Linked DNA regions of Callithrix jacchus. The protein of the gene in region 3 interacts with the protein of the main gene of each other region in a pairwise test. Links are inferred from orthologs where the notes say so. Each region holds a gene or a part of one and is shown on either strand. Other genes may lie near its edges.

What was found.
Region 1: the proteins of PIAS1 (region 3) and ATXN1 interact in binary tests that used the Homo sapiens proteins (3 or more experiments, as listed by UniProt). The link is inferred for Callithrix jacchus from reciprocal best matches to the Homo sapiens genes PIAS1 and ATXN1.
Region 2: the proteins of PIAS1 (region 3) and MX1 interact in a two-hybrid assay, tested with the Homo sapiens proteins (2 studies listed by BioGRID). The link is inferred for Callithrix jacchus from reciprocal best matches to the Homo sapiens genes PIAS1 and MX1.
Region 4: the proteins of PIAS1 (region 3) and SMAD4 interact in a two-hybrid assay, tested with the Homo sapiens proteins (2 studies listed by BioGRID and IntAct). The link is inferred for Callithrix jacchus from reciprocal best matches to the Homo sapiens genes PIAS1 and SMAD4.

What each region holds. Positions count from the first base shown.
Region 1 is NC_133505.1:13,912,226-13,918,629, forward strand, and holds the start of ATXN1 (ataxin-1), read left to right. Parts: upstream 1-2,812; 5' UTR 2,813-2,993; intron 2,994-3,421; coding exon of another isoform or gene 3,422-4,235; intron 4,236-6,404. Other genes in the region: uncharacterized protein LOC128931873, read left to right, coding at 3,422-4,235. UniProt on the Homo sapiens protein: Chromatin-binding factor that repress Notch signaling in the absence of Notch intracellular domain by acting as a CBF1 corepressor. Binds to the HEY promoter and might assist, along with NCOR2, RBPJ-mediated repression. Binds RNA in vitro.
Region 2 is NC_133522.1:47,272,996-47,278,608, forward strand, and holds part of MX1 (interferon-induced GTP-binding protein Mx1), read left to right. Parts: intron 1-1,164; coding exon 1,165-1,303; intron 1,304-2,096; coding exon 2,097-2,295; intron 2,296-4,476; coding exon 4,477-4,555; intron 4,556-5,613.
Region 3 is NC_133509.1:15,291,351-15,296,963, reverse strand, and holds part of PIAS1 (E3 SUMO-protein ligase PIAS1), read right to left. Parts: intron 3,687-5,613; coding exon 3,526-3,686; intron 1,472-3,525; coding exon 1,341-1,471; intron 673-1,340; coding exon 492-672; intron 1-491. UniProt on the Homo sapiens protein: Functions as an E3-type small ubiquitin-like modifier (SUMO) ligase, stabilizing the interaction between UBE2I and the substrate, and as a SUMO-tethering factor. Catalyzes sumoylation of various proteins, such as CEBPB, MRE11, MTA1, PTK2 and PML.
Region 4 is NC_133514.1:94,274,457-94,280,069, reverse strand, and holds part of SMAD4 (mothers against decapentaplegic homolog 4), read right to left. Parts: intron 4,431-5,613; 5' UTR 4,306-4,430; coding exon 4,057-4,305; intron 2,694-4,056; coding exon 2,519-2,693; intron 2,086-2,518; coding exon 2,056-2,085; intron 1-2,055. UniProt on the Homo sapiens protein: In muscle physiology, plays a central role in the balance between atrophy and hypertrophy. When recruited by MSTN, promotes atrophy response via phosphorylated SMAD2/4.

The DNA.
Region 1 (6,404 bases), on a different chromosome or scaffold from region 3:
ACACTTTAAGAAGTAAGGGTGTAATGTATGTAATGTATGATATATTTGCTGGGCCATTTAAAGTCTTCAAGAGTAGCACCAAAACAGTAAAACAGGTCTGTAATTACAATTGTTTTCCATGGTATTTAAGCAATCTACAACACAGGTTATGAGTCAAGCTCATCGGGCCTTATTTATCTATTTCCTGTAATTTCAAAGGTTGACTTATGCTTGCACAAATATAACGTCAGCCTGACGACTAGGACTATAGTACTATATATTTGCCTACTAGCTTCTGAAAGCTCTGCCCTTTCTCATTGAGTTTTTATTTGCATGAGAAAGTCTTGTTTCTAAAGAATCAGTGTCTGTTATTTGTGACTGTACATTTAATATTTTGCCATCTGAAAACAAAATATTTCAGTACTAAAGGTAATGAGACTGTTTCACGAGTATGGTGTTTATGCTGGATCTTGCAGGAAGAAATAGTTACAGCTTTGGTGGCAGTTTATGGCTTTAATCTCAATGGCTAAGAAAGTAAATGACACATTTCTTATTAATTGTTTTTACCATTTGGGTAATATACATATTTAGCTTCCTTGAGAGAACATTTAAATTAATTGGCTAACTCTAATCTGAATTATGTGTTTTAAGGTTGCTAAAATCATGTAAATTAACTGGTTGTGCCAACATAATAATTACAATATTAGCTTTTTTAACGGAAAATTATCTAAATGTAAGATGTCTAAAAATAGAGTGGAGGTGGATTGGACAGTTTGCAGATTATGAGTTGGAATAAAAACATCGCAGTTAAGCCAAAAACATGGCAACCAATATTTTCTGTTATAAAAATATTTGAGATGAGTTTAGTTTTTATGGAAGCTGTCTGAAACTGACATGAAAAGTCCAGTAATAATACCGGCAGCATCTCCTATATACAAAGCCAACAAGCTTCTGCTTCTTTCTGAAGTCGACTTTGTCAAGTAGGGGGTTGGGGGCGGGGGTGAGGATAGGGGTGTGGGATATTTTACCCAGTTATGCTCTGACGCGCTAACCTTCACCTTGACAAAACAAAACCTATCAGAGCCTTTTCAGGAAACTGATGTTAACTGTCCACTAGAGGCTGTAAGGAGACCAACAATGTCACTTTAGACTAACCCGAGGTTTCAAACTGTAACAATCATCGATTTTTAAATGGGGGGGGGAGTTGTAGAAATGAGTAAGAGTGAACAGTAGTAGTTACATTTAAATAGCCACTTACATGTGCACGGCATATCAAAAATGTGAGAAAAAATATTTCCGGGGCTCTGCACTTTCCTCGCTCGTACGTTTATTATTTCAGGAGCACGTAGGCTCTTGCAGGCCAGAGTTGTGTAAAACCTGACACATGTTTTGATCATTCTCTGCCCTGCCTCAGTGGGTGACTAACCGTTAGGTCATAAGTAAACTCAGCCAAAAGGTCTCTCAAATACAGCTTACAGTCAAGAGCGGTGGCTTTCAGAAAGAAACTTACGCGAAGGGGTCATGTTTCCAGACACCTAGTTCTAAGCACCTGAAGGAGGTCAAATGTTGCCCGACACCTACTGGCCTTCCAGAATCATCTGCAGCAAAAACGCCACGCTGAGCGCCCGTAGTCTGGAGGCACCTCCCAGTCCTCCAGGTGCCACACCTGTTGGCAATGTTAGCCCAGCCGACGAAGATTCCTTCGCGTGGAGGTCACACCTGGCGGCGGGACAGGCGGAGGGGCGGGCGGGGTGGTGGGAGTCGCGGACCGCACTAAAACACAGAGTCCAGACTCAAGTTCTTCATCGATTCCCGAGAGCTGCCATTTGATGCTCCGGTGGCTTTCTCTGTCTCTTACACTGGTTACCTCATTTCCGATTAAATTAATGATCCCAAATTAGCTGCGAGAGGAGTGCGCGGGTCTCCTTTCCAGGCTAGAGCGGAGTAAGTAGCTCCAGATCGAAGCCGATTTCCGGACCTGCGGAGAGAGCGAGGGCACGGCCGGGCGTTCTCAGGCAGCGAAGGTGAGGGCGCCTGTGCAGTCGGGGGGCCCGGGAAACTTTGCGGAGTTGCACGCAGAGGCAATCCCCGAGGCCCCCGGGCCTGGGTTCCCGAACGCCGCAGCGACGCCGGTTTGCGGGTTAAATAACGTGCAGCTGATGATCGGAGGGAGCCCTTTTAGACGCGGCTCGGGGCGCCGGGGACCCAGGGCACGTTGGGATTAGAACCCGCCGACCTCCCCTCCCCCCTGGGGTGTTTCATTGGCTGCCAGCTGAAGCCTGACACCCCTTGGGGGAGTCCCCCAGGTTGCCTGAGCAGCGCCCCGCGGTCGCTCGGTCCCCTCCAACTAGGTGCAGGGACCCAGGGAGGCGCTCGAGGACCGACCGGTCACCGCTCCAATTACCTCATCGCGCAGCTCCCCGCCCCCTTCCCAAACCTGGAAGGAACCTTGCCCTCCACCCCGCTCCTCCCCTCCCCCGCGGCCCGTCCCGAGCCACTCTTGGGGAAAGGTGCCCGCCTCCCCGGGCCGCGCGCCGCGAAGGGTTAAGGGCGCGGGCCAGCCGCCGCGCGGTGCGCTCAGGGCTCGGTGCTGCTCGCCGGGCCGCCCGCCAGAGGGTGCCCCCCACCCCCATGAAGTCGGATCCTTGAGCTGCGGCGGCGGCAGCCAACTGCTCCATATTTGGCTTCTATTACACATTTACATACTGGAGCGAGCGAGCGAGCGAGCGAGCGCGAGAGAGCGCGAGGGAGGGAGGGCGGAGGGAGGAGGGAGGGGAGGGAAGCGGGAGGAGGGGGAGGAGGAGGAGGAGGAGGAGGAGGAGGAGGAGAGAGCAGAGTATACCGCAGACATCATTTCTACTACAGTGGCGGAGCCGTACAGGACCTGTTTCACTGCAGGGGGATCCAAAACAAGCCCCGGGGAGCAGCAGCCAGAGCAAGAGCAGCCGCCAGACATTGTTTCTCTCCCTCTGCCCCCCTTCCCCACGCAACCCCAGATCCATTTACACTTTACAGTAAGTGGCTATTTTTTTTCCTCCTCTGATTCTTTTCCCCCCTCCCCCATCCCCTTCTCCCCTTATTTAGATTAAAATCCCTCCTCTCCCTATCTCCCGAGAGGGGCAAAAGCAACAACCAGCAAACAAACCCTAAAACCCCAATCGGCTGCACGGAAAACAGCTGGAAGAGGAGCGAAGGGAATCGACGCGTCGTGTTGTGTGTGTGTGTGCGTGCGTGTGTGTGTACATACAACCGTCCCCGGTTCCAGGCTCCCAGGCCGACACCCCCACTCTGGGCGCAGGGGCGGCCGTTCGGGGGGGCTGTCAGGGGCCGGGTGGGCGCCCGCCGGGCTAGGGGGCGCGCCCGGGCGGGGGGCGCGGGCAGGGAGAGCGGCGGCGGCGCCCCGCTCTGGAGACTGCTGGTCCGGTCGCGAGTGCCGAGAGCCATGTCCTCCTCCCTCCGGGTGGCGCAGGGGGAGGCGGCGGCGGCCGGGGTGGGGGGCTGGTCCCTTTCCCGGCCGCCCTCTTCCCATTCCTCCTCTCCGGAGAGGGCGGTGAGAGAGGGGGGGTCTCGGGGAGGGCTGCACTTCCCCGCGGGTGGACGCCCGGCCTCGGCGCCCCTGGGCGAGGGTCTTCCCTCCGTGGCCGGCCTCGCCGGCTGTACGGCTGTGGGCTGGGAAGGGACTGCTCCAGCCAAGGGGCCGGGACTTTGCGCTCGGCCGGGTGCCAGGCGGGGGGCGCGGAGGGGTGGCCTCGGGGACCCCGCGGGGGTAGCGGGTGTGCGGGTGCCTGGAGCGCGGCTGGAGTGGCGGTGGCGGCCCTGGCTGCCGCCGCCACCGCCGCCCTGTTGGTGCGGCCGCTTCCTGATCCTGTGCAGCGGCCGCCGCCGCCCGGAGCCGCGAGCCCGCGAGCGCCCCAGTCCGGGCCGGCGCCCCTGCCAGCGCCCGCGGCAGGAACCGAGGAGCCGCGGCAGGCGCTGCCCGGAGCCGGGAGTGAACGGCTGCGCGGCTGCTGGGAGGGTGAATGAAGCCAGGAGGAGGGGAAGGAGGAGGAGGCGGCGGCGGAGGAGGAGGAGGAGGCGCTGCGGGGATTGGGATGCGCCCTGGAGCCCCGCTGCTCGTTCACTCTGGGCCGGGCCGAAGACTCTGCCACTCCCGGGGCCGGGGCCGCCGCCGCCGCCGCCTCCTACGTGGTTCCAGCGCTGCGCTCAGGCCGGTCCCGCAGGGGGCAGGGAAGGGGGCCGGACGGGCGGAGCGAGAGGTGAGGCGGTGTCGGAGCGCGGCGTGTGAGTGAGTGTGTGAGTGAGTGTGAATGTGTATATGTGTGTGTGCGTGCGCGCCGGGCGGGGGGCGAGGGCTGTCGTGATGCGGAGGGGGCCCCTCCTCGGCCACTTGGCTGACTCTGCATCGCCCGACCCCTTCTCAGCCCCCCGCCTTCAGGCTGCCTTCTTGAACTCCGAGGCTGTGCTTTCATTTTATTTCAAACCACGTAGGGGGCTGACTGGAAGCGGTGAAACAATTCAGGTTTTCTAGGGAGATTGAGCAAGAACCTTAGCGGGGGGTGGAAGTAGGGTGGTGATCCAGACTCTGCCAGAAAACAAAACAAAACAAAAAGATCAGTTTCTAAGGACGGCAGGGGTTCGGTTCGAGCCGGTGGCTGGTCTGTTTTGTTTTGCTTTCTTGGTATTATCCTACAGATAAAAAGGTAATGTAAATACTTGAGAAGATTGGGAAATTGCTGAAGAGTAGTAAGGGCAAAAAAAAAAAAAAAAAAAAAAAAAAAAAAAAGCCAGTCGGAAGAAGCTGGTTATATAATGCGCGATGTGGCTAACAAGAAAGGCAAGCTATTTTTATTTTGTTTACCGTATGCTGTGCAGTAGGGACTCCTCCAAACTGGTTCTGTCCCCGAAGAGATTCTGAGCTTCCCTGTGAGATCCACAGGATACAATTAGCAAAATTAGAAGACCCTATTACACCCACAGAATAAAAACTGGTGCCTTACAGTGGCTTTCTGCCTGCACATTCGTGCATGCACAGGAATGTGTGTATGCAAATAAGTTCTCCTTTGGCAATCTAGTAGTGCACATCTCAATGACATTTGCGTTTTATAATGCAGGCTGTTTTTAATATTTAAACATTGTCGTTATATATTGCACACAGCAGTGGGTAGTTACTTGGTGGTTATTTTTAGGCATAGCTACTTTTTCAACAGTGTTAGCTAAGACATTTCCGTTTGGGTTTTTTAGGAGGCTGCAGTTCCTAGAAGCCCCCGTTAAGCCCACCCTTCGGTTTATTTGGTGGGTAAAGGTAGTTTGATACTTAGGCTTTTTTTTTTTTTTTGGAATGAAGCTTATGCCTGAGGAAACCACCAGAGAGAAGAGAAAATCCTGCACAGGAACTCTTGGAAAGGGATTGCACCATAACGGCTAATGCTGTGGCACTTAATCTCCTCTGATTGCCCTCTCGCTGTGCATGCATCAGTCAATATTTTAGCAGCTCTGCAAATAAATGGACTTGAATGCCATCTTCTACATAAAGCAGAGGTTGAAGGGCTCCCTTGAACCTCCTGGCTGGCTGTCAGTGGTGTAGGTTTTCAGTGCACTTACTCCAGCCCTGATCACTCATGTAATTAGATCAGGCTGCCATGGCAACAGACAGTGTTCCTCGTCCATTCAGGTGGGTTTGTCTTGTGCCTGAACTACTCCAAATGTTTTATGCACAGCATTTATGCTGCCCAAGCTAGACGAAAGACTCCACTATTTCAATTGCATCTTCTTTCAGTCATTTGGATGGGAGACACTGAAGGAGGCTTCTAGCTACTCAACTTTTATAAAGGAGACCAACAAGCTGTTCTTCCTAGGTGCAGTATGTAAATGCGTCTCCCCATACAGTGAAAGGAGCCTGACAATCCTGCTGGTGTTTATTGTGAGCAGATCAACAAGTATTTGGTACTTGTTAGAAACCTTTCAGAGCTTACTAAAGCAACATTTCTTTTGCAGTCTGGTGCCTTTGGCCATGCAGGCACTTAACCCTTTCAAGTGTGAAGAGCGTTCATCCTTTGGAACCTATATTGCCCATAGCAATGGCTGGATTTCTAAAGGATTTACTCAGAGGAATAACTTATTCGGAAAATATATTCTCATTGTCACATTTTTAAACTTGACAGCCATCATAACAAAAACTGGTACTGACAGTAGGCAGACATTCTGAATGTATTCATTCTTAATTTGGATCTATTGGGTGTGATTTGAATGATCTTTGATAGTAAGTTAAAAGGATTTTTTTTTTCTTAGCTAAGCCAGAAATGATAGAGGCCTATAGCTAGAGGACAGATAATGCATGGTGCTTTTGCACAATAAGCATGTACTTTATTTTAGGATGTAATTTAGAGAACAGTTAGAAAGCAGTATTCTAGTCTGCATAAGGGCAC
Region 2 (5,613 bases), on a different chromosome or scaffold from region 3:
TTTTCTGACGAGTTGGATGGAAGCTTCCTTGGAGACGGTGAAGTGAACAGGCACAGCTGGAAACAAGTTCTATGTATTTGTTTTGTGTTTCACGCAGTGACTCATTTTTGGTTAGAGTTACATTCTGCAGCGGATCTAAAATGCGGTGTATTAGGAAGGAGTTTTATGTGGGAAAAGAGAACATTAAAAATAAGTATAGCCAGGCACAGTGGCTCACGCCTGTAATCCCAGCACTTTGGGAGGCCAAGGCAGGTAGATCACAAGGTCAAGAGATCAAGCCCATCTTGGCCAACATGGGGAAACCCCATCTCTACTAAATATTTTAAAACTTAGCCAGGCGTGGGTGCGTGCCTGTGGTCCCACCTACTCGGGAGGCTGAGGCAGGACAATTGCTTGAAACCAGAAAACAGAAGTTGCAGTGAGCCGGGATCACACCACTGCACTCCAGCCTGGCAATAGAGCGAGACTCAGTCTCAAAAAGTAAAAAAAAAAATTTTTTAAATAAGTATAATGGGCCACACACAGTGGCTCATTCCTATAATCCCAGCACTTTGGGAGGCTAAGGCAGGAGGATTGCTTGAGCCCAAGAGTTTGACACAAGCCGGAGCAACATAGTGAGAACCCCTTCTCTATAAAAGAAAGGTTAAAAAAATTAGCCCTGTATGGTGGTGTGCACCTGCAGTCTCAGCTACTGGGAGGATTGCTTGAGCCAGAGAGGCTGTGATGAGCCATGATTGTGCCACTGCACTCCAGCCTGGACAGCAGAGGAAGAACCTGAAAAAAAGAAAAGAAAGAAAGAGGACTGATATTTGAGTAGCAGTGATCTCACTTTACAGATTAACGATCTAGGGTCAGGCAGGTTTTGTTGGCCATTGTTTTTCATTGTGACCATCAGACCTGAGGTCTTAGCGGGTAATTAACTGAAACCTCATAGTTTTCCCTGAGCCTAGAGCTCCGTTTCTGCTGCAGATACTTATTTTCTCATAATTCCAGCTTGGGAGGTACCTCCAAGGTAGGGTTTATTGGTTCACTTCTCCAAAGTTACTTCTTTTGGGGGAAATACCCCTGGGCCTCTTAGGGCCTAAAGCAAGCACAAGGTCAGAACCTGTCTCACCTGTCACTTGCTTTTGCCGTTTTCACAAGTCACCTTCCATTTCCTTACAGATCAAGGCACTCATCAGGAAGTACATCCAGAGACAGGAGACGATCAGCCTGGTGGTGGTGCCCAGTAACGTGGACATCGCCACCACAGAGGCGCTGAGCATGGCCCAGGAGGTGGACCCCGAGGGGGACAGGACCATCGGTGAGAATGTGGGAGCCTACATGTGGTGGGCGGTCTGCCAGTGGGGAAGTGTCTCTCAAGTCTCCGTGGGCATTGCTGCATTGCTTGGTGGGGACCTGCTTCCACTAAGACCTGCTAAGGGGCAGGTTTGGTGCCCACCGAGGCCAAGTGAAATGAACTACTTTTGACTCTCGTTGACTTGGTTGCCTTGTAACCCTTATCTATGTGCTCAGAAAGGCACAGCAGGCTCAGAAGCAGGGCAAACTAAGGAAGCAAATGGTATTCATAAAGAATGCATTTGAAGTAGGAGCAGCACAAATGTCCATGACTAAAAGGACAAACAAAATGTGGTGAAGGAGGTGGGAAGGGAAGGAAAGAAGGAAAGGGAAGGAAAGAGGGGAAGGAAAGAAAGAAGGGAAGGAAGGAAAGAAGGGAAGGAACGAAAGAATGGAAGGAAGGAAAGAAGGGAAGAAAGGAAAGAAGGGAAGGAAGGAAAGGGAGGAAGGAAGATATTTGAGTATCAGTGAATCTGACTTTACAGATTCAAGATTTAGGGATCAAGTGTGTTTTCACAGGGCAGAGGAGCCTGGGGAGAGCCACATGCTGTTCTGAGGGGCACCCCTGCCTCCTTGCAGCTTGCCCTGGAGTTCTTTCTTGGAGTGGGACTCCACTGGCCCCATGGATCTGCGGAGGCCATGGGCTACCCTCTAGCAAAGGGGGAGGAAACACTGGGAGGCTGGGGCATAAACAGTTGTTCATTCACCGCTGCCTTGTGACTGGGCACGTTCTCTCACCAAAAACATCTGGCTTGCAGGAATCTTGACGAAGCCTGATCTGGTGGACAAAGGAACTGAAGACAAGGTTGTGGACGTGGTGCGGAACCTGGTGTTCCACCTGAAGAAGGGCTACATGATCGTCAAGTGCCGGGGCCAGCAGGAGATCCAGGACCAGCTGAGCCTGTCCGAAGCCCTGGAGAGAGAGAAGCTCTTCTTTGAGGACCACCCATATTTCAGGTGCACTCACCTGGGTTTCATCACGGATCAGTGCAAGCCCTGGAAGTCAGTTCTTCCTGGGGAAAGTGGCGGCCACCCCACAGATGCACGGAGTGTGTGTGTGACTATGCTTGTTCCCCAGCAAGGACTCTGGAAGAATAGAAAGGGGATTACAAAATATTGGGGGAAAAAAAACCTAAAAACCAATCAAAACAGGGAGAGAACAATGTACAATAATTTAAATAGCATGGTGTTGGAACCATATTTTATAAAAACGTAAATAGAAGAGAACAGAAAAAAAGTAGAATGCCCAGAAATAGATTCCGATATGTATGTTTGACACATGATGAACACGGCATTTCAAACAAAATGATGAGCTGTATCAGCTTGATTATCAATTAATAGCATTGGGATAATTATGATTATTTTATTATTTTTGAGATACAGTTTTGCTCGTTGCCCAGGCTGGAGTGCAATGACATGATCTTGGCTCACCGCAACCTCCACCTCCTGGGGTTTAACTGATTCTCCTGCCTCAGCCTCCCAAGTAGCTGGGATTACAGGCATGCAGCACCATGCCTAGCTAATTTTGTATTTTTAGTAGAGATGGGGGTTTCTCCATGTTGGTCAGACTGGTCTCCAACTCCCAACCTCAGGTGATCCACCCACCTCAGCCTCACAAAGTGCTGGGATTACAGTCGTCAGCCACCACCCCTGGCAGGATAATTATTTAATATTTGGGGAAAAGTTCAAATACTGTTCTAACTTACCTCATTATACCACAATAGTTGAAGTTTAAAGTTAAATCTTACCCCATTATGCCAAAGTAGTTGAAATTTAAAGTTAAATGTTAAAAAACAAAGCAATAAGCATCTCAGAAGAAAATGTTGGTGAATAGTTTATAAGACCTTTCTATCCCTCCTGCCCAAAGTGAATTTTTTTAAACGAAAATATTGATAAATTGGTAAGATTTAAAATAATGAGACTATGTAGAATTGTAAACATTCTTGCACTCAATTCTCCCAGAAGCCTACAGAAGGGCATTGCTCAGAGTTCTATGAATATCAAACAGAAATTTCCATGCCCCTCTGCACATTCACAATAGCCAGAAGAGAAGGTGACTCGGTGTCCATGGACAGATGGGTGCAGAAAGCAATGCACCATAAGATGGAATACCATTCAGCCTCAGAGAGGAGGGACATCACAGCACAGACCACGATGCCGATGTAGCTTGAGAACATCAGACTCGGGGAAAGAGCCCAGTCGTAAGAGGACGGAGACTGTCTGATTCCACTTGTCTGAGGTCCTTGGAGTGGTCAGATTCGTATAGACAGAAAGAATGGTGGGTGCCAGGGCCTGGGGGAGAGAGAATGGGGAGGTAGTGTTTACCGGGCCATTGTTTCAGTTTGGGAATATGAAAAGCTCTGAAGATGGACGGTGGTGATGGTTTCAGAATAGCGTGACTGTAGTTAAGGCCACTGAAGTGTACATTTAAAAATGGCTCAAATGGTCAATTTTATGCTATATGTATTTTACCACACGACTTTTAAAAATGGACATAGAAACTGAAGCTTAGGTATGAGTATACTCTCACAACAAGGCACAGAAACTTATGCTTCTCTGCTGCCCATATCCTAAAATGTCCTGTAAAGCGTGGGCAACCTTGTAATAACTCGCCCTATGAGCACAAATTTGGATCGAGTGACAAGATGTTTGGCTTCCACCCTCCAGGCAGCCCATGGTCTAAGTTCTTATCTCAGGCGAGGTTGCATCTCCTCTGTTCCGTGATCCTCCACCCACGTATGTAAATATGCTTCAGTGTATTCGTATGAAGACCACGCCTGTGTTCATTATGATCACTCACACGTATTACAAATGGAAGGGGGTATGTGTTATGAAAACCTATCTATACATGTCTGTGTATTTCTGTGACGACCAGTTCTGTAGCCAGATATTATGAGACACATTTATTATATCAGCTGGAAGGGCTCATTCCATATCATTGTTGAAATATCCTAGGTTGCTAAAGCTCAGCCACAGTCCTGTTCGGTCCAACTCTGAGTATTTGTTGGGTACCGATCACAAGATATTCCATCCGGTGGTAAGCGACTGAAATTTGCCTGGACTTTCCCCAACAGCAGAAGGCAGACGTGCGTGTTCTGGCTACATCAAGGTGGAAATCGATCTTGTGTTCTCTTCTAGGGATCTGCTGGAGGAAGGAAAGGCCACGGTTCCCTGCCTGGCAGAAAAGCTCACCAGCGAGCTCATCACACACATCTGTGTAAGCACAGACAGAGCTGTGGGTCCTCTAAAAAGAACACTACGAACACGGAGCTGAACCTTGCTGGCTTCTTAAACATGACTACACACAGGCCTTCTGAGGATCTTAAGATGCAGATCAGATTCTGTGGGTCTGGAGTAGGGCCTAAAATTCTGCATTTCCAGCAAGTCCCCAGGTGACACGGATATTGCTTTTCAGGGAACCACAGTCTGGGGGCTGCTGATAGACTATACCTACTGGGCCAAAACAAAAAATTAAAATCTTACGCACATGCTACAACTCTTCCTATCTGGTTGCCAGCCACTGTTGGAGCGTCTTAGTCATTGTAATGGACGTATTTTTCAACTTCTAAAAGATTGTAAAAGCTCTCCGTAGTGGTTCTTTTTAAAATCTGCCTGAATATAGTCTCTTCCTATTTCAATTTTTTTTGAGACAGAGTCTCACTCTGTTGCCCCAGCTGCAGTACAGTGACGTGATGTCAGCTCACTGCAACCTCCACCTCCTGGGTTCAAGCAATTCTCCTACCTTGGCCTCCTGAGTACCTGGGATAAAAGGCACACGCCACCACTCCTGGATAATTTTTGTGTTTTTAGTAGAGACGGGGTTTCGCCATATTGGCTAGGCCGGCCTTTTTCAAATGTTCAACTCAGCACCAGAGTGCGAGGTCTTCCACGCAGTCCCCAGGAATGCAGATGCAGAACGGGGTTGTTTCCAGTTGACGGTGATGAGCGCAGAGCTCTATGGGGTCCCACTTTATGCAGAAAGAGGGTGCATCTTTATTAGATTCTCCATGTCCAGCAAGCCCATGGGGGTCGATTTTCTGCCTCTGCACCAGGTCAGCCTCATAGGTTCACGTTCGCGTTCTCTTACCTTACGGCCGGGCCAGGCTCCACTGCTGCCTTCTTCTTGAGCCCCTGCGTGGCCACCGTTACTGGGGTTGGCCTCTGAGTGCCCCTCACTATCTTGTCAGCCCACCGATAACATTTAAAGGTGTGGCTTTCGCATGTCAGCCGGCATTTTTAGATGTTTGCCGTGGAAGGGCGAGCCAGCATGTGGCG
Region 3 (5,613 bases):
ACGAGGTGAAGAGATCGAGACCATCCTGGCCAACATGGTGAATCCCCGTCTTTACTAAAAATACAAAAATTAGCTGGGCGTTTGGCATGCGCCTGTAGTCCCAGCTACTTGGGAGGCTGAGGCCGAAGAATCACTTGAACCCAGGAGGTGGAGGTTGCCGTGAGCCGAGACTGTGCCACTGTCTGGCAACAAAGCAAGACTCTGTCTCAAAAAAAAAAAAAAAAAAGCTGTCAGGTAATTCTGATGTACATACACCACAATTTGAGAACCACTGTACCAGAATCGTCTTTTGATACGATGAATACTATATCCAAGTACCCTTTTAGTGCATTACCCCAATCCCTCCAGAATATTACAAACCTGGGAAAAATTCAAACTATTCTTGATTGTTAAGTTTTAGAATCAAGAATCCTTTTATTTGGCAAGTCTTTAATTCTTATTTGCCAAGTCAATTTTCACTATGACTTTTTTTTAAAGGTGTCAGCACCTACCCTTTATTATTTAGTGGTGATGTGGGAGACAGGGAAGGACAGGTCCTCTTGGCAGATGGCTCTTCTTCCTCTTCATCAGATGAACTGTCTATGGTTAGGTCAATCACTTCTACTTTCTTGTTTTTATTTGAGGACTGGTGGTGAGAAGCTACCTGATGCTCCAATGTGGAGCTCAAGCATCCTGTATGGGAATGATTAAAAAACAAGGCAAGGAAGAGCTATGACATTTATCTTTCCTCAGCGTCCCTTATAGTTTATCTATTACAGTTTAGATTCACAATATTGTTGGAACCAGAGAGCAGAAAACCAGCAGTGGCTCTGTTCTAATAAGTTTAAAACTATTATTATTTAATAATGGTGAATTATTTTTCAAAATAATAAACTACAGAATTAGAGCAAACAATCAAATTGTGTCTTATGCCTACTTTAGAGGAAAAGTAATTTGAGAGCACAGACTGTATATTATCTGTACAATATTTGACATATTTAAGAAATATGATAGCATTTTTTAAAACTCATAGTCTCTTTCCAGCAAAAACAATGAAAAAAGGACGTTTACTACTCTGTACCCAATCTGTTCAAAATGTTAAAAGGGTACATTTTCAAAAGTGTGACTTTACAAATGAGAAATTACATTACTTTAAAATCTTAGAAAAATCCTTAAAGCTGGCAAAAAAGTGAAGTTAAAAGGAGTTCTATTACCTCTGAACATTTAATCAGTAAGTTAATAGGAATTATTAAGCTCTCCACAAACTGTTCAGTGTTTAAAAAAAAAATTTGGATTTTAATATTGAAAACCAGACTTAACGGCAGTAGGGAGATGGCCCTTCCTTGTGAAGAACTACTCACCATCAACTCCATTGTATGAGGCAGAAACTTCCTGTACTTCCTTTTTCGATCTCATTGGTGCCCAAGAGCCATCCTCCTTAAATTGTATTTCATCACAATCTGTGCAGTACTTTAGGATTTCCATAAACAAGCTGTAAGAAAACAATTCATCCTTAGAATATCATATTTTAAATGAAAATAAGTTAAAAGTTGAACAACTTGTTATATTTATTCTTAAAATCTAGTGGTAAACAGAAATATAGCTAATTTATGTCACATTTGTGTAAGAAAATACCATGTGACCATGAAAAATGACATTTTCAAAGATTTTTAATCACATGGGAAAATGTTCACAAAAAGTTAGAAAAGGCCAACAAAAGCAAGCTTCATCTCAAAACTAAAATTCTGTGTGAGTGGTCCATAGTCAGTAGTTATCTCTGGGTGGTACCTTCATGGGTATTTATTTTTCTTCTTTAGATTTTTTTTGCATATTCTAAATTGCCTACAATAAGCATGTCTTACTTGAGAAACTGAAGCAATACACGTACGAATATGTTATCAAAGGTTAAATCTCTTTGATAAAATATTGTGACATTTAAAAACATGTACGAAGAATGCATAATTATGGCCAAATTCCTAGGTTATAATGTTAAATGAAACCAAAGGATAAAAATTATTAACAGTGTACAATCACAATTATGTCAAGACAAAAATCAGAAAATTATACACCAAAAACAGCTTTTTACTTTCCTGTGTTTTCAAATTTTTCTTTAAAAGAGTATGTGTGTTATATGGCTTTTATAACAAGAAATGGGAGAACCTAAGCTATGTAACATATACAGTTGGTAAAATATTACTATTTAATTCTGATTTACCAGTAAGTGATCACTGTCATTTCTGAAAAGTTAAACATAAAACATTTAAGTTACATGTTTATTTTTTTTCCCATGACTGGTCTGACATCTTTCAAGTTCTAGGTTATACTTGTATTGCTAAATATATTCAGTTTCTGATAGTACCACCTTCAGACTCCAGCGTTTTCTTAAACACTGTAGGTAAGTTGCCTTAAGTGTTTTTGCTAGAAAGTACAGGAAATATTAAGTAGAGGCTGGGTGCAGTGGCTCACACCTGTAATCTCAGCACTCTGAAAGGCCAAGGCAGGAGAATCACTTGAGCCCAGGAATTCGAGATCAGCCTGGGCAAAATGGCAAGACTCTGTGTCTACCCTTACCCCCCAGCCCCCAAAAAGTTAAGTAAATGTCCTCCTTTGCACAATTTGTTTTTGTTTAGTGGCAAAAGGCAGGGGGAAAGGAGTCTGCAGAATAGGAGATAATTTGGAGGAGCATTCCAAGATGTCTGGTAGGATAGATTTAAAAAAAGGAGTATTAAAAACAGTCATCAGTTACTGTGATGCTGTAGGTGGACAAGACAAAAAAGAAAAAGACCATGACTGAAGCTTGATCTGATCTCCAGAAACAGGCTAACTGCTATTGAAAAGCCCAATTTTGGATGAGCCTGAGTTAACCCAAATTTTACCATACATTCTTTCTCCAATATGGTCTACATATCTAGGGATGGGTAGATGAATGAATGATGGGAAAAGGAAAGGGTGTAAGCATACCCTGCTTAAAACCAATGGTGCTTTAAACAATGAATGCCAGGAGGCACTAACAGTAATGTATGCATTTTCTTTCTTTCTTTCTTTTTTTTTGAGACAGAGTTTCGCTTGTTACCCAGGCTGGAGTGCAATGGCATGATCTCGGCTCACTGCAACCTCTGCCTCCTGGGTTCAAGCAATTCTCCTGCCTCAGCCTCCCGAGTAGGTGGGATTACAGGCACGCACCACCATGCCCAGCTAATTTTTTGTATTTTTAGTAGAGATGGGGTTTCACCTTGTTGACCAGGATAGTCTCGATCTCTTGACCTCGTGATCCACACGTCTCGGCCTCCCAAAGTGCTGGGATTACAGGCGTGAGCCACCACGCCCGGCCCCAGTATGCATTTTCAAAACAAGGGAACATCAAGTTGAAAAGAAAATGTTCATAATACTAATTTGAAATAAATTACTTTGAAAATATTGGTTTGCAGACTCATAAAAATCCTACAAACATATAACTTAGAATTTTCATTCCAAATCTGATCTGTAACAAACCCAGATAACATATGTTCATTTCAAGGTACCAAAAACACTTTTAAAGTGACATACCCATCAATAATAAGGTGTTCATATGGAGCCTTCTTATCACAGACAGGACAAACCCAGGTTGGTTTTTTCTCATTCATCTGAATGTAAAGAGTTGCGTCAAAACATTGTAGGTGAGAGCATGTAAGGGCCCGACACGGAATTGTCAGCCGCATTTTACCAAGCTTTAAAAAAGGAGAAAAAGTAAATATTAGATAACTGCTGTTCAAAATTTAAGCTTTGATAGAAATTTCCTAAAACACAACAGGTATGCATACTGATTTAAAGCATACTGTATTTACTTTTAATCAATGAAGAAGAACATTAAACATATTACCTGTAAAATATCTATAGATTTAAAAATTACAGTATTTCTTTAGCTAGCAAACAAAATGACTATGGAAAATCTACAACAAGGGTTATTTGCTAAAATCCACAGCTCACAGATCAGCTTTTGGTGGAGAGGGTCATAAACCCCTTGAATTATATTCAAAATTTGTGTGTGCATTTTTCTGGAGAGAGTGCTTTTACCAATTTTCAAAAAAAGAGATGGGGTCTTGCTATGTTGCCCAGGCTGAAGTGCCAACTCTCTTCACAGGCATAATCATAGCACACTACAGCCTCAAACTCCTGGGCTCAAGCAATCCTCCTGCCTTAGCTTCCAGAGTAGCTGCGAATACAGACGTATACCACTGTACCCAGCTTCTCCCAAATTCTTAAAGCAGTCCCTGACCCAAAAGAAAAAATTTGAGAACCATGTAACTAGGGATTAGGGAAAATAATGTCTTAGTAAATACTGCATGATACAGAGATGCACTGATAATTGCTCTCAGCCTTATCTGTGAATTAGAGTAGTTCACAGGACAAAACTGAATCAATAGTGATCACTCCCCACGATGTCTGTCGTAACTGCCAAGTGGTAGCTCCAAGGAGGAAGGCAGGTGGTGCACACACTCTGCACTGCTTCCTCACTGGGAACCATCACAAGCAATTCAGCCTACAGTCCTGGACCTCTAGCATCTCCAGCATGTTAGGACACTTCTTGCCTTGCAAATATTGCTTCAGCTGACACAGGCTGAGTCCATCCTAGGAAGAGGAAATCTGCTTCATCTGATCCCTGAGCTGCTAGCTTTGGCCCAAGGCAGAGAAGCTGCCCAGAGACCTGGTCAGGGAGCTATCATATCACTATCTCAATTCCCTGGAAGCCAGCTTGTACCACTGTAGGGTCCCCAGATCCCACAATGGCCATATAGTAGAGAACTTATCTACTTTCAATAACTACATTATTTGTCAAGTACCAGGAAAAGATTTGTGAACTTGAAAAATATAAAGGCTTGAAAAGGATATGAGTTAGATGAGGAAAAGATTCTTGGCTTAGATCAATTTCAGAGAAATGTGCAATACCCTAGTCTACCAAGGCAATTATCTGTCAGTTGGGGCCCAAAATAATTGCTTTGATGCCAATGATTTACTGTGTCTCTAAGAAAGGCATTTAACCTTTCTGGGCCTCTTTTACTTCTAAAGTAACACTGTTTCCTCCTTATTTCGACCAGATGTAGCCATGATGAATAAAAATAGAACACTGAACATGCTATAAATTATTGAGAATGGAGCAATGCCAGTTTACAGTATCAGAAGCACAACCAGGAGGGACCTAGAGTAAAAACTGGTAACTCCCTTTTCTGTACTCCCAACTCTATACTCCTGCATATGACTACAATCAAGCACCACATAACAACATTTTGGTCAACAATGAACCACATATAAGATGGACGTTTTAAAATTACGTACAGTACATAATACCTGATAACAGACAGCCATGTTACTGGTTTCTGTGTATTTACTATACTATACTTTTTATCATTACTTTGGAGTGTAGTCCCTTTACTTATATATATTTTAAGTTAACTGTAAAACAGCCTCAGGCAGGCCCTTCAGGAGGTATTCCAGAAGAAGGCACTGTTACCACAGGAGAGAACAGGTTCATGTTTGCCACTGCCCCTGAAGACCTTCCAGTGGGACAAGATGTGGAGGTGGAAGGCAGTGGTACTGATGATCCTGGCCCTGTGTGGGCCTAGGCTAATGTGTGTTTGTGTCTTAGTTTTTAACAAA
Region 4 (5,613 bases), on a different chromosome or scaffold from region 3:
TGATGGTATTATCACCCTCTTACTTACTTTTTTTCTCCTCCACTAGACTATAAGCTCACTTAAGTAGACAAGACATACCTTATTATCTTAGCATCCCTGGAACCTAGTACCAAGCAATACATGCTCATTAAATATTTGTTAAAATGAATACACAGGTCAACTTGGTCATAGAAAGTTTCATGAAAGATAAAAGGCAGGCTGTAAATGATTACCACAAGACTTTAACTCAAAAATGAAGGAAATGTCCCATTTTCTTAACTTTTTAGTTAACTGGTCTTGTATTATTCCTTTGTTAAAATCTAGAAGGAGCTGTGAGAAATACCCCTTGTTTTCTGAGGAAATAAGGCACTGAAGACACCCTTTACAAAACCACCACTAGGGGGCTCTACAAGGCTGAATACAGTTCTATAGTCATTAAAGAAAGGCTATCGACCCATGCAATCCCATTGATAACAATGCATCAATAATTTCAGGATAGGGGAGGTGTGTGATAAGCATTCAGAATTTGAACCCCCTCACAAACAGCCCCATAGAGAGATTCAGATAGACATATCATTGCAGTCTCCCAATCTTTAATACCTACTGAGCCAAATGTTTTAATTCTCCAAAACCATGGATGGAAAATGAAGATATGAAGTGTGTTTACTTTAAAAAACACTTTAAAAGATATGAAGGGTATTTACTTAAAAAAAAAAAAAAAAGAAGAAGAAGTTATATGATTTTCAATGTCTGCATGGCAAAGAGGCAGAGCTTTAACCAATCTTAAAGCAACCCTTCCCAGACCACCACAACAGCTCCTAATAATAAATGCACACTTCTCAGAAACCTACTAATCACTAACAAGCACCACAAGGCACTAAGTCTTCCTTCCTCCATTAGTGATATGGGAGAAAGATGGAAAATAAAAACAAGAAGACTTGCAAACTCTTCCTAAATTTTGGTTAACGTCACCTAGTATTTCTGACCCATCTCTAAAATTCTGCAAACAAAAAAGGTCCCAAGTTACTACTCATTTCCCTCCAGAACAATAGCACACCTTTCTAATATGACATTGGGTCCTTTTTTTTGAGATGGAGTTGTGCTATTGTTGCCCAGGCAATGGCATGATCTCAGCTCACTGCAACCTCCAACTCCCGGGTTCAAGTGATTCACTTGCCTCAGTCTCCTGAGTAGGTGGGATTACAGGCACCCACCTGACTAATTTTTTATATTTTTAGTAGAGACAGCGTTTCACCATGTTGGCCACGCTGGTTTTGAACTCCTGACCTCACATGATCCACCAGCCTCAGCCTCCCAAAGTTCTGGGATTACAGACATGAACCACTGCACCTGGCTCACAGTGGTTCTTTATAAGAGTTTCTCTGCAAATTAATTAGTTCTGACAGAAATTTTAGTAAGTTCTAAGTAACAGACCTAAAGATTTAATAAAACTCCATTCTCAAATATTACACTAAAAAACACCTACACCCCCACTGGTGTTTCATTTTCTCACCTTAAAACACTTTTTCAGTAAGGTAAGCTGTGATGGGCATATGCTTTAAAGTAGCCTTGATTTATTTACTCAAAATGTAACAAGACTGAAAAAACACAAACGAGTGCAATTTTAAACCATTCTCAACATTATATAAAAATAAATTAGACTGAAATGAAGAAACATTAGAATACTGGTATTTTTACTGGATATGTTATATGTGATTCCAAATTACCAAACATTCTGGGAACTTAACATCCATTTAAACTGACTCTGTGAGATTTTCTTCAAAAACAGTGCTTAACTTGAAAAGCAGCCTTTGTATTTGTTTTTGGTTCATTCCCTTATCATATTTTTTACAGTACTTTAACTCATAAATTGCAGTTCAAATACAAAGAGCAAATAGCCAATTTAAATCCAGTTTTAAACACCGACACGCCCCCTCAATCTAAATTTCCAAAGCAGTAAGTTATTTTCTTGTTAAGGTTACTGCCGCCCACACAAACTAATTAATTCTAGGTCAACAAAAAAACAGAGAGGATAAAACACAGGAAAGAGAATGTGATAAGAAACAGATTACCTACCATTACTCTGCAGTGTTAATCCTGAGAGATCTTAATTGTTTAAAGAGGGGAAAAAAATAAAACATTAATCATTACAATGAAAATATTTTCCATTTAAAAACAGAGAATGTAAATTTAAGCCAGAGATTACAAAAGTTCATGAACCATTTCAATTCAGAAGTAGCATAAACGCTAACTAACAATACATACACTAAGTATTCAAACTTATAATGCTTTCCATCTTATTTCTCAAAAACAATGTTTTACATGGGCAAAATGTCAACGATAATACTTGGTTTTAGTAGTCAAAATGTTTGTTCCTGAGTTCAAATTTAAATATTTATATTAAAAATATCTCATTCTTTAACCTTATTTAAAATCCTGGGCTATCTTCGAAATTTATAATTTAACTCACAAAAATTAAAGCATTACTGACATCATTTTTCCTTTATGTTTCTAAGGATAAAAGCAAAAGTCTACTTACCAATTCCAGGTGATACAACTCGTTCATAGTGATATGGATTCACACAGACACTATCACATTTTAAGTCAAACGCATACTGACAATATTTAACATGTTTTAGTTCATTTTTGTGAAGATCAGGCCACCTCCAGAGACGGGCATAGATCACATGAGGAAATCCTTTCCGGCCAGCCACCTAGAAAAATAAACAACCATTTATTCGTGTGTCACATTATGCAAGACACTTTACATATATTCTGATTTAAACCTCACAATCCTACCAAGTCAGTATTACAATCCCCATTTCATAAACGAGAACACTAAAATTCAAAATAACTAACTTGGCCATGTCATACTTCAGACCTAGAATTTAAACGCTGGTATAATTTCAAGGCCTGTGCTCAGGTTTTAAAAATGCAAAAAGTGGGTGGGCCTGGTCGCTCACACCTGTACTTTGGGAGGCCAAGGGAGGATCTCTTGAACCTAGGAATTCAAGACCAACCTGGACAACATGGCAAGACCTTGTTTCCACAAAAAATAAAAAATCAACCAGACATGGTGGTGTGTGCCTGTAGTCGTAGCTACTCAGGAGGCTAAAGCAGGAGAACTGAATAAGCCCAGTAGGTCAAGGCTGTAGTGAGCCATGTTCGCACCACTGCATGGGCAAGACTGAGACCATGTCTCAAAGAAAGAAAATAAAATAAACAAATAAATATGCAAAAAGACTGTGTTGTAGAAACTAAAGTCTAGAAATAAAACTTTAAAATCTAAGACATAAAATTTCTATGAGATTTACTTGAGCAAGGGAGACGTATTACAAAGTTCTACATGAAAAACGTGACCAATGAAACATTTGATATCAGTGAAACATACCAGATTTCTAAATTATAAAAGGACTAAGTATAATCCACCAGTTGTTTAAATGTACATACAATATCAAAAAAGAAAACATGGCCGGGCACAGTGGCTTGCACCTGTAATCCCAGCACTTTGGGAGGCCAAGGTGGGTGGAACACCTGAGGTTAGGAGTTTGAGACCAGCCTGACCAACATAGTGAAATCCCATCTCTACTAAAAATACAAAAATTAGCTGGGCATGGTGGCACTCACCTGTAGTTCCAGCTAGTTAGGAGGCTGAGGCAGAAGGACTGCTTGAACCTGGGAGGCGGAGGCTGCAGTGAGCCAAGACTGCACCACTGCATCCCAGCCTGGGTGACAGAGTAAGACTCTGCCTCGGAAAAAGAAAGAAAAAGAAAACAACAGACTACAAAAATGAATACCAAAGGGCTAACGGAAGTTCCTGCAAAATGTGGGTTTTCTTCTTTTTATTTTCCAAATTTTCTCCACTGAACATTTTTCTGAGTCAGAACATAAAAAACTTTAAAATTTTATCTTTTGCATATTCTTCCACATATTCCCATAATGCATATTTGTACTGGATGACAGTATCTGAAGAGATGAAGCATGCATTAAATTACCCTATAGAAGCTTGAAAGGAAATTTAGCAAGTTTTTTAACCTGCCACCATAGAGGGTATAGAAAAATTCTTATAAGACTAACCTGAAGTCTCCCATCCAATGTTCTCTGTATGGTAACACATTTACTAGGATGAGCTCCATTTGTAGTTATGGCTGTTATTAAAGAATCCAATTCATCTTTTTTTTCCTTCAGCTTCTTTACCAAACTTTCAATTGCTCTTTTTGCAAATGTTTCACTCTCTCCACCTTGTCTATGGCACATCAAACTATGCACAATGCTCAGACAGGCATCATTACTAGTTGGTGTATTCGTAATAGACATATTGTCCATTTGTTCAAGTTTTTCCTTTTAAATCAAATGTCTCCAATTTCCAGAACAATTTTGATCTTTTGGAAGCAGTATAAAACAACAGGTAACGTTGCAAGTAAAACTGTTGCACATGTATTCAAGATAACCTAAAAAAGAAAAAAAAAGACACACATCAGAACATATTTCACAAAGTAGATTTAGATATACTTGGAAAAAGATGAAATTGTTCTGGTTAAGTCAGAGATTCAACGCACATAATTAAAATTTGATGCTCAGAGTTGAACATTACTTAAAATTCTTATAAAATGTTAACCATCAAAAATAATTTTTAAAAATAAAATTAATCAAAATGTCACTGTTTTTGACATTCCAAAAATATTAAAATTAGGTCTCCTCATTATAATAGTGAGACGCTCAATTGAGTCTTGCTGACTGTACTGGTCACCCTAAAGGGAAATCTTACCAGGACTTTTTTTAAAGGATTACTTATGAGGATTAGCACTTTAAAATAGTCTTGATTAACAATCAGCTAAACCTAAAAGTCTATTACTAATATTTATGAAAAATTACCATCGCCTGGTATGAAATGCTACCTAGCAGTTAACACTGACCTTTGTTAAAAGAGACCAATAAAAAAAGGATCTCTTTTATTCTACAAGACATTTCTCCAAAGATAATGGCCAATAAGCACATGAAAGCTCAACATTAGTCATTATAAAAATGAAAACCAAAACCACAAGTAGCTCTACCACTTCATACCTACTGAGATGGGTAAATCAAAGAGACAATAATAAGTATTGAAGAAGCGAGAAATTGGACCCTCATTCACTGCTGCTGGTATTACAAATGGCACAGGTACTTTGGAAAACAGGCTGGTATTAACACAAAATGTTAAACACAGTTACGATATGACCCAGCAATTCCCCTCTTCACAATTCTACTTGAGAAAAATGAAAACCTATGTCCACACAAACCTGTACACGAATGTTCACTGCAACACTGTTCATAATAGATACAACTCAAATGTCCATCAACTGATGAATGTACAAATAAAATTCCACACAATGAAATATTATTCAACCATAAAAAATAAAAGTACTAATACATGTTACAACATGGATAAACCTCAAAAACACATGCTAAGTGAAAGAAGTCAGTCACAAAGGTCACACATTATAAAATCCCATTTATATGAAATATACAAAATAGGCAAATTCACAGAGATAGAAAGTAAATCAGTGGTTGCCAGGGCCTGGCAGGAAGGGGTATGAGAAATGACTTCTAAAGAGTATGATGTTTCTTTGTTATAATGAAAAAGTCCTAAAAATT